Drosophila melanogaster: one gene and its partner. The gene in region 1 interacts genetically with each later gene. Each region holds a gene or a part of one and is shown in the gene's direction. Other genes may lie near its edges. The genes, in order: Pkn and cpb.

The links.
Region 2: of Pkn (region 1) and cpb, changing one suppresses a phenotype caused by changing the other (phenotypic suppression), as found in Drosophila melanogaster (one study listed by BioGRID).

The regions. Positions count from the first base shown.
Region 1 is NT_033778.4:9,265,854-9,271,155, reverse strand, and holds the start of Pkn (protein kinase N), read left to right. Parts: upstream 1-2,192; 5' UTR 2,193-2,484; coding exon 2,485-2,787; intron 2,788-3,179; coding exon 3,180-3,501; intron 3,502-5,127; coding exon 5,128-5,302. UniProt on the Drosophila melanogaster protein: Pkc-related serine/threonine-protein kinase and Rho/Rac effector protein that participates in specific signal transduction responses in the cell.
Region 2 is NT_033779.5:1,703,055-1,707,440, forward strand, and holds cpb (capping protein beta), read left to right. Parts: upstream 1-1,847; 5' UTR 1,848-2,057; coding exon 2,058-2,060; intron 2,061-2,076; exon of another isoform or gene 2,077-2,223; coding exon of another isoform or gene 2,224-2,226; intron 2,227-2,345; coding exon 2,346-3,173; 3' UTR 3,174-3,723; downstream 3,724-4,386. UniProt on the Drosophila melanogaster protein: F-actin-capping proteins bind in a Ca(2+)-independent manner to the fast growing ends of actin filaments (barbed end) thereby blocking the exchange of subunits at these ends.

The DNA.
Region 1 (5,302 bases):
CTTAATATTTGCAACTAAAATGTATTATTGTGTACCAATTTTTAGCCCATAAAAGTGGGCTAAAATACAAAATACAAAATACGAAATGTTTATCTAAAGTAGTAGCTGAATTTAGGGGAAAATTCTTTTTTATTATCACAATATCATTCATTGCAATTTAAATATACCTGTCAAAAAAATTGTTTATATTAATGTTTTTATAGTTAAACAACATTATTTTAGTCCTATATTCATATATATAATGCACTTAAAATGATGTATACATTTTATAAAAATACAAATTAGTTTGTTAAGCCTCTGGTAATCAGATGTATCAATATATCTTTTAGCACTTATGATGTCCTGGGAAGCCACCATATATTTTTTTCGATGTTTTTACGATCTTGCTTAATACTTTATCTGTCCAAATAAACTGGGTAGGTGGGCGTTTAGCTGGAATTAAGTGTGGATTGACATTTGGCACTAGCAACTTGCCTGTTTGATGCAGCATGCCGCTTCCTATCGAATTTGATGTTAGGCTAATTGGCAATTAGCAGTGTCTACTTAAAATCGCATTACCCCCATAAAAGATACTTGAGTGCGTGCACCACCATCTTCCTTTGGAAGGAGATCGATGTTTCGGCACTGGCCAAGACGGTTGCGTTCGCACCGAATTGAGTTGCGTGGTTTGAGCTTATCGACGGCAAACGAACCTGTTGCTGCTAAACGATTGCCGTTCGCCACGATTCGTTTTTCGATTTTTCTCCCTAACAAAGCCACACACACAAGTACACGCCCACACACACACAAACACTGGTGCACACCTAGCCGCTCGGGTAGCTGGATGTTCTCAGTAACTGTTCGACTATAGACGGGCGTAGTTAATTCCGATTTCCCACCGGAGCTTGATAACGGTGACTCAGAGGTGTCACCTAATTACTGGTTATTAATCTGAACAAGTGCTACAAATATTAACATAACTATCTGTGAAGTGCCAGTCATCCAAATGGCAGATGATTCTGCCCTTATGAACTGCGAAAGAACTAATAAAAAAATTAACTGTGTGGTGTGGGGTAAAGAGTGAATCAAAATGTATTAGTGTAAACAATCGGGCCTGGAATTCAAAGTTTTCTGCCAAAGTTATCAGTAGTTTCTGTGATAAGAAAACGTTACGCACTCCTTTATTAGGTTTCTGCCAATTCAGGGCCATTTTAATGGTGCAAGAACCTCTTGAGAAATAACTAGCAAGTTTGAGGGTCGCATTAGCTAGCCCTACAGTGAAGAAATCCAATACATATACAATGATTCATTGTGAAAAACGGAAATCTGACAATCTCAAAAAATAAAATAATATTACTTCTATCCCTTTGGCGACGTTTCTTAATAAAAATCCCACCAAGCTCACCATTCGTTAGGTGGTACGAATTCAAAAATATTTATAATGAGTTTTCCATAAACAATTGTTTATTGAATAGTGTTTACTCTGTACCTCTCTGCACTTGCCACTTTGTTTGGGCATACATATATGCACATGTTTTGCAGAACGTAGATTTCAACAGGAATTGAAAATAAACATATTCAATCGATAGCACAACTGGGTAACTTTTGTTGCCTATGGCTCATTGTGTAAATATGTTCAGGCGGTTTGCCCTTAAATACCCAATTTGTGAATGCGGGAAAATTCAATTGCTTTAATTTGTTGTTTTTAAGAACATAAAAATGGGTTCATATGTATCTGACAGATAAGAATGAACTTGAACTTCATGAATGAGTTTGTAGGAGAATAGAATTTTTGAATTTCATTTAAGATATTGTCTGAATGGTTGGATAAATTGAGTAATTTTTGTAGCAGAACTTTTCTGCTTTGTTCTTAGGAAATAGTGTTTAGTTGAGCAACTGAAGACGAATAAGAAAGAACGCGAACTCACAAGTTAAAAGAATAAAATATAAAGGCACGTGCATTAAATCAACGCGTTTAATTGAATTCCTTTTGATTTTGGTTGCCAACTGGCTTTCCATTCAAGCAGACTTTCGCCTATCAAACAGTTTAACTTCATTCTGATATCTAAATTCACCGAGAAAGTGTAGCAAAGACGATGACATTCAATTGAAAACGATCGATCGATTAGAATTCCAATTTGCATAGCAGTTACTGTCGGCTTGTTCGCTTGTTTCAAGTGACACCTTTGTCGACTTTTCCCGGCAAAGACTCGAGTGGCTATCAGACAGAAGCAATCGAGAACCGCTTAATGAGAAAGCCAAAGAAACTTGTTGAACTACAAGAAAAAGAAGCACAAGAAGGCAGAAGAACCCGGAGGGGGAGGCAAAAAACATTTTCCAGATAAGCGGCAGTCGGAGTCGTGTGAATAAAAGCGTGTGTATTTGTTTTGTGGGTCAGCCTGTTCCAGCTAATTACCGTGAACTTGTCAGCGCACACAAAACGGCTGTAAAATGACCAAAGTGAGGTAATAAACACGGCGAATTAACGAGAAACCCGAGTGAATAATGTCCAAACTGGTGAAGAGAATCCGCAGCATGATCAATCCAAGCAGCCAGCGGGATCGCGAAGATACCACCTCGGTATCCGCTTCAGAGGGCTTCATTGCTCGCAGGAAGTGCCACTCGCTGCCCCGAAGGAGCAATAGACACTCGACCGCCCGGCGATCAAACAGTGGTCTGTGGAATCGACTGGTCACCAATGTCTTCGGACCGGAAGATTCATATGACTTTGACAACGAAGGCGACAGTGGTGGTGCCGTATTTTACACCGATTCGGTGAACGGTTCAAACTATGAGATATCTGCAGAAGTGAGTTAGTCGAACAAAACTGGATAACATTTTATAAGATTTTAAGACGATGTCGGCTGGAGGTTACAACTTTTTTTTTTTTTACTATAGAACCATTATATTTTCATATTTCGGATACAGTTCTCTAAGTATGTTCATCTCCTTGGGTTTTAAATTCTTTGTGCCAATCATGCACTTCAAATACTGCATAGTATTTCACTATGAACTTTGTTTGATTCAACTGCAGTTTTTGGCTTTTAATTAAATTGACTGCAGTCTATAAAGATGTCACACTTCTCCAAGAGGTGCCGCAGTATACGTTTTTTATTGTTTGTGTTTCAAAAACTTGAATCGAATTTAATTACGAATATGTGTATAACCTTTTTCTTATTCCCATTTTTTCTCACCCACAGGGCGAATACATCAAGCATCCCGTTCTGTACGAGCTCAGTCACAAATATGGTTTCACAGAGAATCTGCCGGAGAGCTGTATGTCCATACGGCTGGAGGAGATCAAGGAGGCCATTCGGCGAGAGATCCGCAAGGAGCTGAAGATCAAAGAGGGCGCCGAGAAGCTCCGCGAGGTGGCTAAAGATCGACGATCCCTCAGCGATGTGGCCGTTCTTGTCAAGAAGAGCAAAAGTAAACTTGCCGAGCTGAAGTCCGAGTTGCAGGAGCTCGAGAGTCAAATCCTCCTGACATCGGCCAACACCGCCGTCAATAGTAATGGACAAGGTGAGCATCCATCAATTCCCATAGAGATTGGGTAACTTTTTCTACCGTCGTCTCGCTTTTCGTTTCGAAAACCCACTAAAAGCCAGACATAAACTGTTGCAATTATACGAGAGCAAAAGTTTCATGCAACAAGTTTTGTGGGCAAGTGTAACGAGTCAAGTGTATTCCCAATAAAAACGAGGGCGTGGCCAAGGGGCGGGGTCACTAACGAAGCTATAACCAAAACAAGCTTCAAGAAAAAGTTTGGACACTGCAATGAAGTTGAAAGATGTTCCTTTTTGTGTAGAAGATAAAGATAAGGTTGTTGGTTAATTCAATTTCAACCTGGTTGTAAAGTGTAATTCAATCAACCAAAATGTTTGGTATATCCTGGGCTAGTTCGGATTTCTAGGTCACGTGGTTTCCGGGCAAGCAATTTAAATAAAGGAATGAGTAAATTCTGTATAAAACTGTTTATTATAAACAAAGATTTTGTAAAGATGTGTATTCAAAACTTTGTATTACTTGTTTCCAATGGACTAAAAGTATGAAGTAGTTTCCTAAAATTAAGTGATATTTAGAGCAGGGACAGTTTAAAATTGCTTTATAATAAAGCTGTAATTTAGTAGCTAAAAGCTATAATTAATAATAGTTTCAATTATGAAACCATTGAAATTTTTTTTGACCAAAATAAAAAGCCGAACAAAAATGAAAGTACTTACTTCCGAAAGAGAGTGACATCAAAACCTCACGAATGCTGCAATTGTTCGGGGCTTTGGGAATGGTTAAGTCCGTCTTTTACGAGTCTTTGTCACGCATTTTCTTTTACCTTTACCACATTTTTTTTTGGCCCATCACCTAATGCTTCATGGTGGTGACAAGTGAACATTGTGCTGGGTGTTAATGATCTGATTATCGCTTTATATATGCCCTCGTATCTTTAACAAAACACTTTGTGATAGTCTCGGCGACGGACGAAATGTTTTCTTCGTTTTCTTCGGTTTTTGTGAGCCAACCTATTGACACAACTGCCGTAAGTGTGATACGTTTGGTTTGTTTACATTTCCGAATGGAGACAGCGTTCTGGCATTCTATATATCTGCTTCCGTGTTTGGCCAATCCCCCAACAGAAGCATTTGCCCCACAAGAACCCCTCCAATGTGGCATTGTGTGGCGCCAGAGTCGACTTTTCATATGTCAGACGATTGACATGTTTGGCAGCTGTCGAAGAATGCTGCACAAATGCCGATTCTCTTTGAATAAATAGCTGGCGCATATAGAACCAAACACACACATTTTTAGTTTGTGCCAAACAAATGGCCTTTCAAAAATAAACAATGGGAGAAAAAGGGCATAAACAAGTTTTGGACATTTTTGCTGAGAAAATTTGGAACACCACTGCTGATTGATTGATTTTTTGGTTACCGTTTATTTATTATTAAAATAATAATACAACAGCTGTTTCTAACTTGACAAGCGAAATTCTTTCTTTACGGTGGGTTTAAAAGTCCTTATCCTAAACTGGTATTGATAGAATACTTATTGTGCTGTACTCTGTGTATCTAAATCTATGAAAGGTTTCTATCATTCAATACTTCTTACGAAATTCAGAATAAAATAGAATCTAATCTTTCCGATATCTTTCAGAATCGATCACTGCCTGCATTGATCCCAATGGCGGCTTCTTGGTCAGCGGTGCAGTTGGTGGCTTGGGCGGCGGAAACACGGCTCTGGAGGGCGGCGCACCGGCCACTGCCAATGACAAAGTGCTCGCCTCGCTGGAGAAGCAGCTGCAGATCGAGATGAAGGTGAAGACCGGGGC
Region 2 (4,386 bases), on another chromosome or scaffold:
GAGAAGTACTTTACGTGCATAAGGTTAAACGAAAAACAAAAAAAAAAATAGTTTTAAAAAAACGCAAATCCGTTTGGAGCAAACTCAGGGCATTATCAAGACTCACGACGATGTATACATGCATTTAATACAAACAAAAAAAAAAAATAAATAATGAGAAGAAAAACAGAAACTTTTTCGATATGTATTACGATAAAAAAAAAAAAAATTATGAAAGCAACCGCAAAACGGATGTAATAATCATGCGAAACGATTATGAACAACTCAGGTATTAAATATTAAATGAAATATTTTTAAAAACTTATAACGAATCGAGCGGGCAGTCGGTCAGAAGTCAGAATCAGCATTTTCACAAGTTGTGCAATATTCTTAAAGTTTTCTAAATACGTAATAGTATTAATAATCTAATATGCGATCATGGCAAGGATCAGTGAGTTGAGATGTTCATAAGCATGGGATCCGAAAGGTTGAAGATCGAGGATCGATGATTGAAGATTGAGGATTGAGAGAAGGTTAGGTGAGTTTTTGAAGCACATGAGGACTAGGCGTGTAGTAAACCAGCCCTAAGAATTTTTAGTTTTACCACCCACACAAGTCAAGAAGAACAAGCCACAACAAACACACTCACAGAAACACACACACACACATACTCGACGCGAAATGCGAAAATAGTGAAATAAATAGCTAAATGAAAATGAGTTTATATAAAGAAGGAAAACATAAAACTGTGATTACATTTGATTGTCGAAGAAGCGTTGATAAGCAAGTGTTGCATAATTATTGAGCGAAAGAAAAACGATGAAACGAGAAATACGATTGAAAATGGAGTTATGTACTATTATTGAATCTGAAACCGCTTTTGATTTCGAATATTGGCACAGTGTCTAGCATGCGACAGAGCATAAGTAAATAAATCAATATTAATTAGCCGAAATATTAAACTTCAAAAGAACGACTAAGAAATACAAATTATAATTATCTAAGTTATTCGAGATTAGTGAAACCTGCCCTAATTTTACAAGTCACCTGTAACAGTTTTTATCCTGGCTAAAAATCCAGAGCTGCGAAAAAAAATCCCTCGATTTAGTTCACATTTCTCTGAACGATTTCTGTATGTAGTGCACCTTAGTTAAAAATTAAAGTCTGAGATTTTACATTTATCGTATATGGTCGAAGTATACACCTAAAGAGCGCACTTGAAGCGCGAGTCTAAGCCCAAAGCGGTTAATTAAGTTTATTGAACCTACTACTACTAACGAGGCAAAATCCCACACGCTACGTATTTGGCTAAAATTAATGTAAAAATCAAGAAATCCAAGGATCGATTCAGAAGGATACGTTTTCGGAGCACGCATATGATTTCTAAATAAGTATGTATGTATGTCTGAAGAGTGCGAAAGCGAAGCAGCTTAAATATATTTTAAACACGAACTCGGATAAAAATTTACGATTATGCCATACATTTTTGTGTAACATATTAAAAACTACGAGTAAGCTAAACCCACAGTCACACACAAACCAAACGCATTGTAACAGAAACTCACAAAACACGGAGAGGAAATGGGCAACCAGAATGGAATTAAGCATAAAAGTATATGAACGAAAACTAAATTCAATAAACTTGTTGCTAAAATATAATAAAAGTAAGACCATGGTTTTATTTCGGGCGGATTGAGTGCCAGAGTTTATTTTTATAAAGTGTACTGCAAATTATTGCCTTTTGTAAGTAAGTAACTGCCATTCGTTATGTTAATTTTCAAATATTTCCGCTAGATAGTTAGCGGGTAAGAAATCGATATACCAAATCGAGCGAGCAATCGATGCTCCACCAAAATGAACGATATCGCATAATAATCGGGCTGTGTTCCAGCTCTAGCACACCATAGCAAAAATAAAAAATCCTAATAATAAGGAAAAAGAGTCAATTTAGTGCAATCACTTGCAATATAAGCCCGAAATCCTAGCTAGAGTTTAAGATCGGCCCTGCTCAGCGAACGCAGGCCCCTAACATAAACAGTGTAAAACTATCGAAACAAGGGAAAGCAGAAAGTACCAAAATGGTGAGTAATACTACAATAGTAACAAGAAAAAAAAGCAGGCCAACAAACGGTGTTTTTGGTCGGAACCGCCCATTCTGCAAGCCAAATATTCTTGGCAATCACCTAATCCACCGAGAAAACCTCCAGAGGGGCGGCGGCCTGTGGCCTCAAATAATGCCCATATATGGTAATCCCTGGTTTGCCGGGTGGCAGTGGAAAGCGGAGGGATTTTTTGGGCTCTCTTATCGGCGGTGGTGCAGTGACTCAAATTCAATTTCACTGGTGTCTCTTCTCCTCTCTTCTCAGTCGGAAATGCAGATGGACTGTGCTTTGGATCTGATGCGGAGGCTGCCGCCCCAGCAGATCGAGAAGAACCTTATTGATCTGATAGACTTGGCACCGGATCTCTGCGAGGACTTGCTCTCCTCCGTGGACCAGCCGCTGAAGATCGCCAAGGACAAGGAGCACGGCAAGGACTATCTGCTGTGCGACTATAACCGGGATGGGGACTCCTACAGATCGCCCTGGTCGAACTCCTACTATCCGCCGCTGGAGGATGGCCAAATGCCCTCGGAACGACTGCGCAAACTGGAAATCGAGGCGAACTATGCCTTCGATCAGTACAGGGAGATGTACTACGAGGGAGGCGTCTCCTCCGTCTACCTATGGGATCTGGATCACGGGTTTGCCGCCGTTATACTGATCAAAAAGGCGGGAGATGGCAGCAAGATGATCCGCGGCTGCTGGGACTCCATCCATGTGGTCGAGGTACAGGAGAAGACCACCGGCAGGACGGCCCACTACAAGCTCACCTCCACGGCAATGCTCTGGCTGCAGACCAACAAACAGGGTTCGGGAACCATGAATCTGGGCGGATCCCTCACCCGGCAGCAGGAGCAGGACGCCAACGTCAGCGAGTCGTCGCCGCACATCGCCAACATTGGCAAGATGGTCGAGGAGATGGAGAACAAGATCAGGAACACCCTGAACGAGATCTACTTTGGCAAGACCAAGGACATCGTGAACGGACTAAGGAGCACACAATCACTGGCCGATCAGCGCCAGCAGGCGGCCATGAAGCAGGACCTCGCAGCGGCAATCCTGCGACGCAATGTCAAGCCCGAATCGAACTGAGTACTGAGCGGCTGAAGGCTGAATTTCCACATAAACCAATCCAGTCCAGGGGCGTCCCACAAGCTGGCTGCTCCCAAGAAGAGCGCAGCAATATTCGAATTGCAAGGCACTGTTGTCACCACTAAATATTGTCATAAATATAAATAATTTTCATAATATTTCGGCTGCACCCACCCAATTCGCTGTTACTCGCCCAATTGTGTTGAGCAGCTCCGTGGAGGACTCCGCTTGGACTGGACTAAAGAGCTGACTAAAAAATATTAAATACGCATTTCTAGGCAGTAAATTTGTTACATGAGAAAATTGTTACACCACGAGAAGCACATTAATGTAAATTTTGCCCGCCCGTTTCAACTGTCCTCCCACATTGTTGCCGTTTGGAGTCGCGCTTCATCCAGAGTTCAGCCGAAAATGCCAACTTCGCCGCCCTCAAGACAGTATCCATAAGTATTTGTATCTTATTTGTAATAATGCATATTTGCACCGAAGTCGAGGCACTTGCGTTTCGTTCTTAATCCTTCCGCGAATAAATATTGTGTTTATTAATTGTAACTTTGTGTTTGTGTGTAATCTAACAGTAAGGCGCTCGAAGCAAAATATTAACTGAAATCGCTTTGTGATTGTATTATCTGAGGAAATGCACATTACCTTTCTTCTTTACTTAATATTTTTTAACTGAAATTTGGAAGGCAAGAGAAATTTTATACAAAGAAACTAATAAATATTGAATTACAACTAGAAGTGGTTTCATTGGGGGAAAACATCATATTATCGCAAAAGATAAGATATATAAAATAAACTACTACACATCACTCCATCGATGTATACCATATTCTACTTTTAGTCACGACATATCATATCATAAGCTAGTTAGATAAGGACTAAAGAAAAACATGGCGAGTTTGGTTCATGGCTACCTTTAAGATACGTTTGCATTTATTTATGAAAATCGGAGACCGTTTGATTAAAAATATGTAATTAAATACCTTGAGGTGTGTGACGCAAACGATTGTGTGCTTACTTAGACAATTACTTTTAATCTTTGCATAGTCGCGTTTTATCATAGTTATTACAGAATATACTCGTAGATTTATATAGATCGTTTCGTCTTGTGTTACCAGCTATATACATACAATGAGGCGACCACCAACAGCTCACTCATACACCTTTGCGAGTGTAGTTAGGGGCAGCAGCACAAGAATTCAAGTCGAAG